Drosophila melanogaster: one gene and its partners. The gene in region 2 interacts genetically with the main gene of each other region. Each region holds a gene or a part of one and is shown on either strand. Other genes may lie near its edges.

The links. Genes that interact genetically often act in the same process or in processes that back each other up.
Region 1: of Dp (region 2) and bonsai, changing one suppresses a phenotype caused by changing the other (phenotypic suppression), as found in Drosophila melanogaster (one study listed by BioGRID).
Region 3: of Dp (region 2) and RpL30, changing one suppresses a phenotype caused by changing the other (phenotypic suppression), as found in Drosophila melanogaster (one study listed by BioGRID).

What each region holds. Positions count from the first base shown.
Region 1 is NT_033778.4:22,636,236-22,639,419, forward strand, and holds bonsai (bonsai), read left to right. Parts: upstream 1-1,534; 5' UTR 1,535-1,617; coding exon 1,618-1,823; intron 1,824-1,882; coding exon 1,883-2,016; intron 2,017-2,075; coding exon 2,076-2,578; 3' UTR 2,579-2,633; downstream 2,634-3,184. Other genes in the region: Cdk9 (Cyclin-dependent kinase 9), read right to left, coding at 1-638, 707-964, 1,024-1,108, 1,171-1,355; CG3732 (uncharacterized protein), read right to left, coding at 2,803-3,184. UniProt on the Drosophila melanogaster protein: Essential for gut mitochondrial activity. Might be involved in tissue specific growth factor production.
Region 2 is NT_033778.4:13,220,710-13,228,267, forward strand, and holds Dp (DP transcription factor), read left to right. Parts: upstream 1-1,723; 5' UTR 1,724-2,336; coding exon 2,337-2,403; intron 2,404-2,881; exon of another isoform or gene 2,882-2,951; intron 2,952-3,465; exon of another isoform or gene 3,466-3,753; intron 3,754-4,612; exon of another isoform or gene 4,613-4,702; coding exon of another isoform or gene 4,703-4,757; coding exon 4,758-4,915; intron 4,916-4,981; coding exon 4,982-5,042; intron 5,043-5,099; coding exon 5,100-5,229; intron 5,230-5,292; coding exon 5,293-5,626; intron 5,627-5,694; coding exon 5,695-5,930; intron 5,931-5,990; coding exon 5,991-6,073; intron 6,074-6,136; coding exon 6,137-6,220; intron 6,221-6,276; coding exon 6,277-6,461; 3' UTR 6,462-7,036; downstream 7,037-7,558. Other genes in the region: CG17059 (uncharacterized protein), read left to right, coding at 57-194; Fsn (F-box synaptic protein), read right to left, coding at 573-667, 731-1,095, 1,153-1,460. UniProt on the Drosophila melanogaster protein: Component of the DREAM complex, a multiprotein complex that can both act as a transcription activator or repressor depending on the context. In follicle cells, the complex plays a central role in the site-specific DNA replication at the chorion loci.
Region 3 is NT_033779.5:19,007,480-19,010,956, forward strand, and holds RpL30 (ribosomal protein L30), read right to left. Parts: upstream 1,759-3,477; 5' UTR 1,726-1,758; intron 1,659-1,725; 5' UTR 1,637-1,658; coding exon 1,470-1,636; intron 1,205-1,469; exon of another isoform or gene 1,132-1,204; intron 1,065-1,131; coding exon 896-1,064; 3' UTR 575-895; coding exon of another isoform or gene 554-574; 3' UTR 552-553; downstream 1-551. Other genes in the region: CG31793 (uncharacterized protein), read left to right, coding at 1-498, 554-574.

The DNA of each region.
Region 1 (3,184 bases), 9.4 Mb from region 2:
GTGGTCAGTTGCTGGTGATAGTTGCGCATCTGGTTGCTGCGGCGTGGCTGCGCCAGGTACTCGAACATGCTCTGCAGGTGCTGGGACAGCATCTTGCTCAAGTCGCTGGGCATGGGATCCGTCCAGAAGAAGTCGTGATTCAGAGCTGTGTCCGCATCGATGCGTTTCTTGGGATCAAGGGTCAGCAATTTGTCCAATAGATCACAGCCGGTTTGATCCTTGACATACGGACGCAGGCGCTCCTTGACTCGACGCTTCTGGTTCTTTGGCAGCTCGATGGATTTGTACAGCTCCAGCTCCTCCACTCCCGGCCACACGTCCGGCGTAAAGGAGCCGCATAGCTGCGAGATAAAGGTTAGCTGCTGCTGCTCCGTATTGCCTTGCATGATGGGCGAGCGTGTCCACATCTCGGCCATTATGCAGCCGGCTCCCCACATGTCCACGGGTGGACCATAGTTGCGGTCACCAAGTAGCAGCTCAGGCGGCCGGTACCACAAGGTTACTACGCGATTGGTATAGCGATTCTTACTCTCGTTCTTTGGAATGCTAAAAGCACGGGCCAAGCCAAAGTCAGCCAGCTTTAAGATGCCATGCTTGGTAATCAGCACGTTGGCAGCTTTCATGTCTCGGTGCAGGATCTAGTAATGCAAATGAAAACAGATACATACAATGTAAAACCAAAACTTTGCTTAATGACATGACTCACCTTGTTGCTGTGGATGTAATACAAACCGTTTAAAAGCTGCTGCATAACCTTCTTAATCTCGCCCAGACTGAACTTGACGTTCATGTTGGACAGAAGACCTGCCAAATCGTGTTCGCAGAAATCAAAGACCAAATAGAAGGTGGATCTGTAACCATTCGTGGCGGTGGCCTTGGTGCGGCAGATCTCGATCAGATTCACCACGTTCTCGTGCTTTAGCAGCTGCAGGATGCGGATCTCTCGCAGAGCCGTGATGGGAAACTAGGGGAGCACATATATAAATAAGGAATTCGTCTCTTAAGATGTTGCTTTTCACGCACGCCCTCCTTTTCGTTGTCCATCAGCACCTTCTTCATGGCCACAAACTTCTTGTTGCCCTTTTTCTCGCGAGCCTTAAAAACCTCTCTGTAATCAAAGGGGTCGTATGTTTTAGTTTAAAGTTAGTTTTCACCAATTTGGAGACTTACCCGAAGGTGCCTTGGCCAATTTTCGCCACCTTTTCGTATTTGTTGCTCTCGTCGCAGTAGGGAAAGTCGTAGTCCTCGATGTACTTTTGTTTCTCCATCAGGGACATCGTGCGCGATGAGCTGGAGCCCACGTTGGAGGGCGTCGACCCCGAAGGCTGCTGGAGCATGTGGGACATGTGCGCCATGGTTAAATTTGCCTCTATTTGTACAATTTTCACAATCACAGTTTCGCGAGAAGCCGACAGTCGAAAAGAAAGAAATCGGCAACAATTGGTGTTTCTACAGCTGTTGACTAAAGAAATACCGGTGTGCACACACTGTCAAGGCCTATCGATAAGAAATCGATGGGTCAAACAGCTGGGTAGTAATAACTTTTCGATTGTTGGTATACACTGGCCAAGTGATATAACCTAGCCAAAATTTGTCCAACAAATAAAAGCCGAATTAATGAATAAACTGTTGAATATAGCCCAGGCAGGGCATCGGCAGTTTGTCCGGGAATATGCATTCAAGTCGGACCTGAAAATCAAATGGATGCGCCCCGAGAAGATCGCGTGCTATAAGCCCGAAAAGAGCGGCGATTTAGCCAAGCTGCCTCCTCTGAAAGCCGACGAACTGCTGCCGGAATACAGGGACTGCAAGGAGTTGGATAAGTATGTTGCAGTATTCTCTCAATATAATAGTTTATTTACATCATCTCACCATTTTGTAGAGCCGACGAGTCAGTTAAATCCTTGTTCAAACTGAGCAACAACGCTAGTTACCTGACCACAAAATTCTATCGCGATGAGATGGTCAAGGAGGTGCAAAGACATGCCCAGGATTTCGGCTCAATGGAGGCCAAATGTATGTATCTTTGCAAAGTGCACATATAGCAGTTCCCCCCAAATTTGCCCTTCTTTTAGTGGCAAAAATGACTGCAGTTATCCGCCGCTACCAGGAGCACATGGACAAGCATCCGCGCGACAAGATGATCAAGGTGCGTCTCAAGGAGCTCATCGACAAACGCAAGAAGTTCCTCAAGTACTTGAGACGTTGGGATTATCCCCGCTTCGAGTGGATTCTCGAGAAACTCGACCTGGTGTACAAGCCACCGCCCACACATTTCCACTGGATCACCCGCAAGGAATCCCTCCAAAAGTTGACCGACATATACTGCGAAAACCTAAAGGAAGAGCGGCTAGAGGCTTACCATAAGCAGCTGCAGGCCCAGCAAATACCCTTCCTTGAGGAGGCCATCAAGAAGATGCAGTTCGTGCGGCAGGAACAGATTTCCTGCGATGTCCCCGTGACCGTGACAGAAGAGAAGATCGCCGACTCAAAAAGGCAGCTGGAAATGCTGAAGGAGCTGCAGCAGGCGGAGGCAGCCGCCAGCAGCAAGAAACAAAACGAGGATGGCTTCAATTAGGCCCGATTCTTTAATGTTACGGTGTCTTACAATAAATGTAAATGCTGGTTTTCTTAAATTATATGTTTTATTATACTTTAAGAGTTAGGCTGGACATCGTACCCTATGTCATGATCATCTGAGCGCATACTGGCAAATAAATAAGAAGGCAAGCATGATTGCCTTAGAAAAATGTGTAAAAACAGACGCAATTAAAGAGAAGTTCCTAAAGGGTACGGTTGCAGCTAACGTCTGCCCGACGAGGAGGTTTTCCGCCTGCCGCCGCTGCTGGAGCTACTCGAGCTGCTCGACGAAGAGTCGCTGGAGCTGGACGAACTGGACGACGACGAGGAGGACACGGAAGAGGTAGAGTCGCGTGAGGTACGCTTGCGCTCCTTGTCGCCATTGCCAGTGCCCTCTTTGCTCTTGACATCCGTGGAAGTGACTTCTTCGTCGCCCCAGAGATCGTACTTTGATAGATCCTCGTCGTCTCCCTCGTCGTCGTCCTCATCTTCTTCCTCATCATTCCGCTGCTCATCTCGGCTAGACCTTCTGGGCCTCTTTGAGTCCTCTCTATGCTCGCCGTGCTTTCGCTTCTTGCGACGACCGAACTCATCGTACTCGCTA
Region 2 (7,558 bases):
AACCTGCCACCATACGCTCATATACATATGTATATATTTATATTGTATTCCTTTAGTCCGGCGGAGCCACAGGAATGATGATGGACCACCTGCCCTCCAACGATAAGCACGTCCACGCTGACTTCTACAATGATTTTGATGATCTGTTCGATGAAGACAACTGGGCCAAGATGAAAACCGATGGGAAACAGTAGAGGCCACCACGCAATAAATGGATTGAAAGATTTGTATTCGCGACTCGTTCTTCTGTCTGTAATTTTACTTGCACAATCAGCGATCATTGGTGTATAAAAAATTGCTTCAACTATTGTTTAATCGCTTATTATATTCATTTGGTTCGTATAACTAAGGTAAATTGCCATGTGAGATAGTGCCGAGGTGGATATGAACTTTGGCTTAGCGTAAATCAACAAAATGCATAATTTTGTACAAAAAAACGAAACTATTAACTAAATTTATCGAACTGAGTTTCAGGTGGAATGAAGCAATCATAATTGAGATAAATACAAATGTACACAATAACCTAATGGATCCGTGGAAGTTGTTAACCAAGTTGTAGGCCCTCTGCAAAGCTATCCGTCCAACGGCGTGCCCAGATAGACCATCGAGACCTCGGTATTGCCGTAGACAGCGGATACTGTGGGATAGAGCTTTTTGTCCGGCAGGCCTGCAAGGTGAAAGTGCATAGAATCGTTCGTATCGCTGGTATCACCAAACTATTTCCCCTTACCCCGGAAGGCCACACCGAGGAACTCGTAGTTCTTCTCGAACGACAAGGTGTTGTCCTCGCAGTCGAGAATGACGCGTATCCGCTCGCCCACTTGGTACTTGGGAGCATTGTTCAGCAGCGGGTAACTGCCCTGCATGTCGCCGTTGTGCAGCAGGTGGTTCTCGACCAGATTCCAGCCCCAGCTCTGGTCGTCGGAGCCGAGCAGAGCCACATAGCCGTGACACTGTAGAGCCGCCTCCTTGGTAGATATGCCGATGACGGCCACAGTGCCCAGCGGTCCCTCCCATATCACCTCCCAGGTGTGACGACCGTGGCGGAATCCTATCTTGCCCCGGGCCGCGTCTGTGCTCTGCGCCACGGGATTGCTGCGGGAATGGAGGGACATACATATAACGCCGACTCAAGCAAACCGAATACCTTACCGATGCAGGGTGAATCCGTTCGGCTTAATGTACACATTCCTCGAACAGTCGTTGGGGCTCCAGGCGTGAAAATAGGCCCGCAGCTTCGTCTTGTACGTGGAGACGGAGGCCAGCAGGTCCGATTTGAGGGACTCCTTGGGCAGCTTGTTCAGGCAGTGCCAGCGCCAGACGTCGCTGTTCTCGTCGTTGAGGAAGTGGTACCAACTTTTGCACACCTGCGAGCAATGACTGAGGTCGTCCAGCTCCAGGTAGGAGAAGATTACCTCCAGCACATTGTAATTGCACAGCGCCGCCACCGGATCGACCATTGTGTGCGTGTGCGCTCCGCTGCTGGGCTCGTGTAGATAGCTGCTTGGATTTACCCGTTCCTGTTGATTGTCATTTTCCCACACCAACCAAATGGGTAAAAATAAAACTCGAAAACTTTAATATTCTGCGATTCAGGGTGACCGTTGGCGGGCTGCCAGCGAAATACCGCTCACCTGGACAAAGTGGCAACTTTGTTTACATCCGCGACCAGTGTGCGATAGCGACTGTCGCACACAGCTGCTTACAACACTGCGTAAATTGATGCGTAAATTGGCGCGCACTGTCTGCCATTTCATTCGCACCCGCACACAGCCTGCTTTGCCTTTCCCACATGAAAACGAAAAGCAGCCACTTGGTGGAAATTTTGTGACCATTTTGTTGCGCTTAGAAATTGCGGAAATTCGCGCTGCTGCCAGCCGTTCGATAGCTAAAAGTTCGCCGTATCTTTTGCCACTAATCTCGTGAAAATCCGTGCGCCGAAACACCGCGAAAAAGGCCACCGAAAAAGGGCCGCCGCTGTGAGTGTGTGTGAGCAGCAGAAAAGAAAAAAAAAATGCCCTGCCGCTGGAAGTGAAAAATGCGCTCGCCATTTTGACTTGGGCGACACTTATTTTTTGTACAAGTGCGCTCCCCATTGCAGTCGTCGTCGTCGTGGTCGTGGTCCGCATCCGGATTTGCACACGTGCCCCAGTCCGTGGGTGCAGTACGTCCGCCTATCCACCGCCGTCGCCCATTCCAGCTCCATTTGCCCCCCCCTAGCACACACGTTGCGGCGAAACGGCACGTAGCACTGCTCTTTCCTTTTGTTTTTGGCGGTCCACCTGGTGAGCGGTAAGCGACAACAACAAGATCACTTGATCTCCGGCGGCCGAAAAATGGCGCATTCGACGGGCGGTACGGTGAAGACCGATGAGGTGAACTTCTTCTTCCGGAACGAGCACGGTAAGTGGGCGGAAGCGGTGTCCTGTAATAGGAGTTTTGCTCACGATGGAGTGAGTGCACTCCCTCCCTCCGCTATAGTCCATCATACACACACACCCCCTCATACACAAGGCGACCCACACAGATACGCTACAAAGTTGCATGGGCAGCGTAAAACGCCATCTTTGCTTTTTCGGGTTTCTTTTGCCTACCGTATTCATCGTTTGATACGCTTTGCGGGGGGAGGCCAGCGAGACGAACCGAAAAGAGTGCTAGAAATTGGCAAAAAGTAATAATAAAAGACAGAGACCCCCGCGAAATAACAACTTATATCAGTAAGCCACCCAGACCCGCCCCCTTCTGCCATCTACGCCCATCGCCCAGTTGGCGCGCTTGCTCACACACACACATGCACGCACACTAGCACGCGCGCGTTTTCTCCTACTTATTTTTTTGTTTTTTCATTGGGCGGCGAACAGCTGATTACTTCGCCGCCACTGCGAATTCGCTTTGAGGATTTAGCATGAAGTGAAGTAGTGATAAATCGTTGATTTCAGCTACGTACAAAGGTATTATTGTGAGGGACATTGTAAATTCAACTTGAAACAAATGTATCTGAACAGCGTGACATTCTGCCATATCTTAGCGAGTGGGAGAGAGACGGGGCGCACCGCCAAGAGAGATCGGGGTGAGAGAAAAAAGGCCACAGCAAGAACAACACTGCCACACACACACACACGTAGTCAGCCACGAAGCTGAAGCCCAAAACAGGCGAGAGCAAATAGGTGTAAGCGCTGTACACGTGTGTAGTTGTCCGTCGCCGCGTTTATGCGGTATTTACCGTACCCCGCAGTACTGAACTGATTAACTTCATGAGTTTCATTCAGTCATGATAGCAAAGAAGAAGATATGGATAGCTTTATGACGTGCTTTTATTTGTATAAAATGTCTCTTTAATCCCCAATATGTAAAGAAATAGTAATTTTTAATCAGTGATATTGCTCTTTGTTGAATATGAAGCGCGCATAAACGCTTTATATAGACCAGTATATCAGCCTGTTCGTACCAGCGAGTTACCTGGTTTGTAGTTATCTGCTGGTTGACTGGTGCAGACGAACTATGGAACTGCTTCTCCAATTGTAGGGATTATGGTTTCACCTGCATTTTGGGACTCTGCCTAGGCATTGTAGGATAACTCCCGCCGAGTTTAAGACTCCCATCGTTACCATCTGGTGGGACAGTCCGGCATTTTCTCGCATGTGTCCGCTGCTCAAGCCCCCGTGAGTCTGACTCACTTGCAGGTGTGTGTGCGTGTGATGTGCCCGTGGGTGCGGGAGAGTTGGCAGGTATTTTTAGCGCTCGACCCTTTGCGGTTTTTGTTTTGGGCATCTTCATCTCCATTATGCGTTGTCCACCTGCTTTGTTGTTATGATTATGCAAATATTGGGCTGGCGACAGGTGAACAATTATTACATCGAATGAATACCATCTAAAACTGGAAATGTTTAGAAAAGCCGGTTGGATACGAAACCCAGGGGTGCCAACCGAGTAGTCTTAATGGGTTTCCGGTTAATTCTGCCTTGATATTATAGTTGCTTTGGAATGGAAGTGCTCATAGTGTTGGATATACCAAATTAGCAGTAAATAAAATTTACTAAAGAACGCAACTAAGAACAGTGATTTGAAATGTCACGCTTTTAAAAATACTAACCGGTATCATATTTGCTCTTACTTTTTCTTCTGCTTAGGCTTCTGCTTGATTTATTGTCTTTCCAGTTAAAAGTCGAATTGTGAGTTTTAATGGGAAACCTATAATCGCACTATATTTAATTCAAATTATATTCGAACTTGGATTAATCCGACTAATGACTGATCAACAATCTTGTCGAGTCACGAACTTTAGTATCGAACCATCTCTAATTGGTTAAGGGTCACGTGGTTGCCATCACTAATGTCCAGGCGATCTGGTTTCGGGTTGTTTATGCTTCTGCATTTGTATCCTTGTCACACCGATTGAAACACACGCACACTCACCACCAGCACGTGAGTGTGGGTATACCTTGTGTGTATGTGTGTATGCACCCCAATCTTAATGTGCCGCTCGCCTTTCGTTGTTGTATTCCGACTCCAGTGCGCTTAACTCGCTCCATTCCATTCTCTTCACTTCGCTGCGATGAATTCACCGTATATACGGCGAAAAAACGCATCGTTGATAGTACCACACATACATTCAGTTACTCGCTAACACTCTGACACCCATGTGTGTGTCTGTGGAGTACATGCAGTTTTGTTATCAACGACGGCATTTCAGTCGCGTGTTATGTGTATATCGGAAACTAAGGAACCTCCGCATCTTCCAATTTCCAATTCTGCAGGACAAATATCCAAAATGCTGAAGCCGGCCCAGAACAAGTCCGAAATGGAGGGAGGTAAGCCCGTGGCGGTGGTCTACGCCACCGGCTCATCCGCGCGCAACAGCGGAAGTGCTAGCGGCATCGGCAACGTGGGACGCATGGGCGCCTTTAGTCAGATGGTAAGTGTAGAACGCGGTTGCTCACGTTGCTTACACTTAGTACCTAACGATCCGATTTAAACGCAGGGCAGTCAAGGGCAGTTTATACGACTGCAGGACAACGGACTGTCCATTCCAAAAACAGAAGGTAAGCGTGTGATCCTCCTCTTACCACTTCAATTAATCATTGTATCCCTTATTGTAGCAGGTACCACCTACACCACCGTTTCGGCGCAAAAGACTTCGGGTGCTGGCAGTGGTCATTACGACTTGCCCTTGAAGGGAGATCGCTATGTGAAGTTTACACCAAATCCCATAAAAATGAAATCAAAACTGTAAGTAGTAACCAACCGAGCAGGATCGAGGAGGATACTATAGCTTTGTTCCTTCCCAAACAGCCATGCCATTCAGAGCAACTCGTTGCACTCCATGTCGGCCTCCTCATCGTCCGTTCAAAGGAAACGCAAGCCGGACAAGGCAGGCAAAGGTTTGCGCCATTTCTCGATGAAGGTATGCGAAAAGGTGGAGGAGAAGGGCAAGACCACCTACAATGAGGTGGCCGACGACCTGGTCAGCGAGGAGATGAAGAACAATGCGTACGACAACAACTGTGATCAAAAGAATATCCGACGTCGTGTCTACGATGCGCTCAACGTACTGATGGCAATCAATGTTATTTCCAAGGACAAGAAGGAGATTCGCTGGATAGGACTGCCCGCAAATTCGACAGAGGTGGGACTTGTGTTCACCAAAGGCACCAAACTCCATGCTAATGTGATTATTTTGTCCCCTTTTCATAGACATTTCTGGCCCTGGAAGAGGAAAACTGTCAGCGCCGCGAGCGAATAAAACAGAAAAACGAAATGTTGCGCGAAATGATCATGCAGCATGTGGCGTTCAAGGGATTGGTCGAGCGGAACAAGCGAAACGAGAGCCAAGGCGTGGTGCCTTCCCCGAATGCCTCGATCCAGCTACCGTTCATCATCGTGAACACGCACAAGTCCACGAAAATCAACTGCAGTGTGACCAACGACAAGTGAGCGCTCACACTCAGTCGGAGTATGGCTTGTATTCTATTTCCCATATATCGTTTCAGGTCCGAATACATATTCAAGTTCGACAAAACCTTCGAAATGCACGATGACATTGAGGTGCTCAAGCGTATGGGATTCCTATTGGGTGAGTGTGTTTAATATTGGGCATTCGGGATAAGAAATTCATTGCATATGCTATTACCTGCAGGACTGGATAAGGGCGAATGCACGCCGGAGAACATTGAACGAGTCAAGTCGTGGGTGCCTCCAAACCTTGCCAAATACGTAGAAGGTATGACCATATATTGTCTTCCAATTCACTGTTATTAAACTTTATATTTGGCCCAGCCTACGGCACCGGCAAGACTGGCGAAAATATGTACGAATCGGATGACGAGGACAATGAGTTCAACGGGTACCTGGAGTCGGCCAATGAGTCCCAGGGCTTTGCACAACACTCGGCACAACACACCACCGATGGCGAGTTCAAGCTGGAGATGGATGATGACGAGCTGGACGACGACATTGATTGAGCTGATGGTGCCGCCGTCATTGTGCCAGCCATGGCCGATGCGGACACGGATGCGGATGGAGGAGCAGATGCTGATGCGGAGGACACGTTTAGTTTTACGTTTATCAACGCTTTGTTAGGTTTGCCACGGCCCCCTGGTTAGTCAGGAGCCGCACTCCACTCCAATCCACTCCACACCCAATCCGACCCACCCACACAATTGGTTTTGTTTACTTCTCAATGAGACTCTTAAATTATATATATACAATCTCGCAGCGACGAGAAAGATTCGGTAGTTCATGTATGTAAGTGTAGTTTGCATACACAGTTTGTAATTGTATCATTGAAGATTTATGTTTAAGCTGAAACGTTTTTAAAATAATTTGTCTAGTTAAGGAGAACGCGTTTTTAGTTCAAACCACAATTCACATAAGGCAATACCGCGAAACCACATGCCCAGACTAATGTTCACTCTCTAATTAGTTGTTATCAGTCTCCCTTTTCCCCCCAATGGCCTTTTCATGTTTGGGTAGGCTTAAGCAAAAGCGATAATGTTATGGGTAATTGTCTCTTAATAATATAATATACCAAAACTGTACACAACCGCAGTGAAATGCAATTATTTTTAGAATGCCACGAGCAGTTTGAACTGCAGACAAGAGCGAACATATGAAATATGTTTAATTTGCTAACACCCTTTGACAAAGCGATTCTTTTAGATTCTCAAAACCCAAATTTTAAGTTGACAAGGGAGTGCAGATAGTTGCGAAATAATCAACCTACCTAATTAGTAATAACAATTAAAACACGATATACATTTTCAGAATTTGTATTTATATTATTGAACCCTCTTCAAGTGAATACAACAGCATGCAAATACAAATTAGTAGTCAAGTATAAGGCGTTAACAATTAAGTGTCGAGCATGTAGTTGTGTAATGAAACGAAATAATTGCATGGATGGAAAGGAAATTGCAAACAAGTGAGACGAAATCGAACCGAGTGACAAGTTAATAAAGAAGTAATTTGCATATTGTAAAATATGATAAACAGAGAATTTAATCTTTTCCTCCCTTCTGCTTGCACCCAACCCAAGCAATAAGTCCAATAATCCATGACA
Region 3 (3,477 bases), on a different chromosome or scaffold from region 2:
CTGTTCTCCGGCACAATGCGATACAACTTGGATCCCTTCGAGCAATATCCCGATGATAAGCTTTGGAAGGCCCTCGAGGACGTCCACCTCAAGGAGGAAATTTCGGAGTTGCCTTCGGGTCTGCAGAGCATCATATCTGAGGGCGGGACCAACTTTAGCGTAGGCCAACGCCAGTTAGTCTGCTTGGCAAGGGCCATTCTGCGCGAGAATAGAATCCTAGTTATGGACGAGGCAACGGCAAATGTGGATCCTCAGACGGACGCCCTGATTCAGGCCACCATTCGAAACAAATTCAAGGACTGCACAGTACTCACGATAGCTCATCGTCTAAACACCATTATGGACTCCGACAAAGTTTTGGTGATGGATGCTGGTCACGTCGTCGAGTTCGGTTCTCCATATGAGCTGTTGACCGCGTCAAAGGCTAAAGTGTTCCATGGAATGGTTATGCAGACGGGAAAGGCCAGCTTTGATCATCTACTGAAAGTTGCAGAGAATGTAAGTACTAAAGTCGAAAATTTCATTAATAAACTAACTTTTCCTTCTATTTTAGACCAAACAAAACCATATTTGAAGCTAACATTTTTATCATATTAATGTGTTTGTCTACGTAATGTATATTGGGCCCAATTGTAATGGAAAGGGAATTTCGTGGTCATAGATTCAGTTTTATAGAATACAAAACGTTTGTACTTAAGGGAGTAAAGCAAAATGACAATGTTTTCTTTTAAATAAAATGCTACTTAAACAACAAGAATCACGTGCCAAATCTTTTGATGATAATCCCAACATTGCTTTCACTGAATTTACCAAAACAATAGTGTTTTTATTTTAAACTTTATCTCTGCTCATACAAAACTTTATTGTGTCGTCTTGTTCGATTAAAAATAAATGTTTAGGCCGTCTCCAGCGAGCGGATGATGTCCGAATCTCCAGGATCGGTGATGGACAGGGTGCACACGCGGAAGTATTTACCACAGGCGGTGCCCAGCTCGATGTTGGTGCCGCTGTAGTGCTGGACTTCAGTCTTGGCCAGCATAGCGTAGTACTCGATCTCGGACTTCCTGCAATGTGAAGAGCACATGTTAGTACCGATATAAAGGCGCTTGGAACAGATGAGCCATTGGTTCGAGCGTCAGAAAGAGTCTCTAGTATAAAAAGGATTCGTCAAGGCATTCGGAATCAATAGGATCATCATTATGGGCAGTAGACTACAGCTAGGTGTTTATATGCCGGCTTCTTACCCCAAGTGATGTGCATGCCCGTTGTTGGAGGAACCATTTGGAAGCGCCGTAGACTAAAGCGAACCAGTCCCGAAGCTTGAGATTGATTGATTGCACTGCTCCACTACTCGGAATCATACTTCTCAGTCAGCTTTAAGGGCAGACTCCATATGGTTCCATCAAAAACGTGGTCACTTGGGCACAGTGGAAACCTACTGCTTAGCAGCAGACGCATGGGCATCTCACCTCAGGGCGGGCGTGTTGCTGGCGATGAGCACCAGTTTGGCCTTGCCCTGGCGCAGGGTCTTCAAGGTCTGCTTGTAGCCCAGGCAGTATTTGCCGGACTTCATCACCAGCGCCAGACGGGCGTTGGTGCTCTCCAGAGCCTTCTTTTGTTTCTTAACGGCCACCATGTTGATAGTTTGGGTTAAAGCACTGCAGGCGATAGAAATTAGTTAGTCGAGTGATTCTGTGGAGCCGGATGAAAAATTAAAACACCCACCTTCGTCGGCTGACAATGGCAAAAGAAAGAGGAAGAACAGGCGGAAATGGGTACCACGTTTGTGTTGGTGTGACCGACGGGGGGATGCGAGAAAATACCACCAATTAATACAAATAGGGTTAAAATACCAATTAGCGTGTACACAATCCACAATTAGCGTGGACACGCACCGAAACTATCTTTTAGCCAGTACAACCTCCAAAGTTATGACGATTGGTAACGCCGTTTTCGACTTCGAATATTTGTAGTTGCCAACCTTCTTGAAGATTGTATGCGTGCGTGAATTTAAATTTTTTTAAATCGTGATAATGCGTCGAGCAACAATCTAAGCTAAAATTAGATGGCACGGCGTTTATTGATGCGAAACATATGCAATGCCAACAATCTTAATATGATTCTATGCTTTAGCTCTTTGAACCTTTAAATGTTGGCCAAGCACCCAAAGTGTTGAACTATAGCATGTGTTTTATTTAAAATCTATTTGTGATAGAGCTTAAAACACTAAACAGTGGGTGTGGGCATTAAGGTATCTACAACTGCGTGATTGGAAGAGACCCAGTTGCTTTGTGACGGCTCACAACCCCGGATTGCTGTGTCAAGCTTTTACGTCGAATTATTGAATAAATAGTTCCGCACGGCGAACGGGTCGGCAACGCCAAATGAATTATACAACGTGGATTAGGGAGCTCCAAGGAGGGCGGCACGGAGCATCCTCATCCGCATCCTCATCCGCATCCACATCCGGAGTCAGAGTCAGTCGCAGACGGCTACCGGCACGTGACGACACCACAACCCAATGCCAACCCATGGCCCACAGTCATAAAGTTGCCTGTTTGGGAGTCCTGAGCTCATCATCATCGGCTCGTTGCGTGCGTGCGCACTCGACTCGCTTCCAGACAATCTGTGGCCTGGGCCGGCTTATGAATGATGCACAGGCTGCTGCTGCTGCCGCTGCCGGACGGGCAGGAGTGAACTTTTCAGTTCGGGACTTCAACACTTCGATTGTCGGGCTGTAATTCAACGCCATTTACGTGGCCGCATGCTGTCAGGAATGATTGCCGCCTGCACCACCGTGGGTGGTGGCGCCTCGTCTGGGTCGTTACATCCTCCACCTCCACTGTCCTATCATTTCCATTCCCCTGGCGACGCGTGCTGCTGCACAAATAAGATTCAACCTTTGACATAGAGTCCGGAAATTCTTTCACTAGCCGGCTGTCTTGATGGTTGGATGCTTGGCTGCTGGGAAGCTGGGATGCTGGGATCTCCTTGCCAATAGCCACGGGGGAGCTCTGAACTTCCCCCGCGAAATTAAGTCCAAGTCGCTGCGATGATGAAGTTGCGAAATGCTCATCGATCTGTGTGGCTACTGGTCTCCCACATATAGTAAAAGGTTCTATTATAGGATTGACTTAAATCATCTCCCTGTGGTAGCTTACGTGATATGGATCGTTAGCAGGACATAAAATTTAAGGCAGGATTAGGATTTTATATTTTATTATCCATAAGGTTCAGTCTGTATTTTGAACCATTTGCTTGATAGCAAATTATTGTTATAGATATATGCCAATGTAACATAGTTTTGACTAAATAATAGCTTCTAATATTTGTATCTTATCTAGTTAAGACTTACATATTGAATAATCAGTTCAATAAATCACTTCCCACTTGATCTTTGAAACAGAGATCGAAATATCTGTGTGTTTGCTTTAAGTCACCTACATCCAGACCTACAAATACAGCCCCCGCCCTATA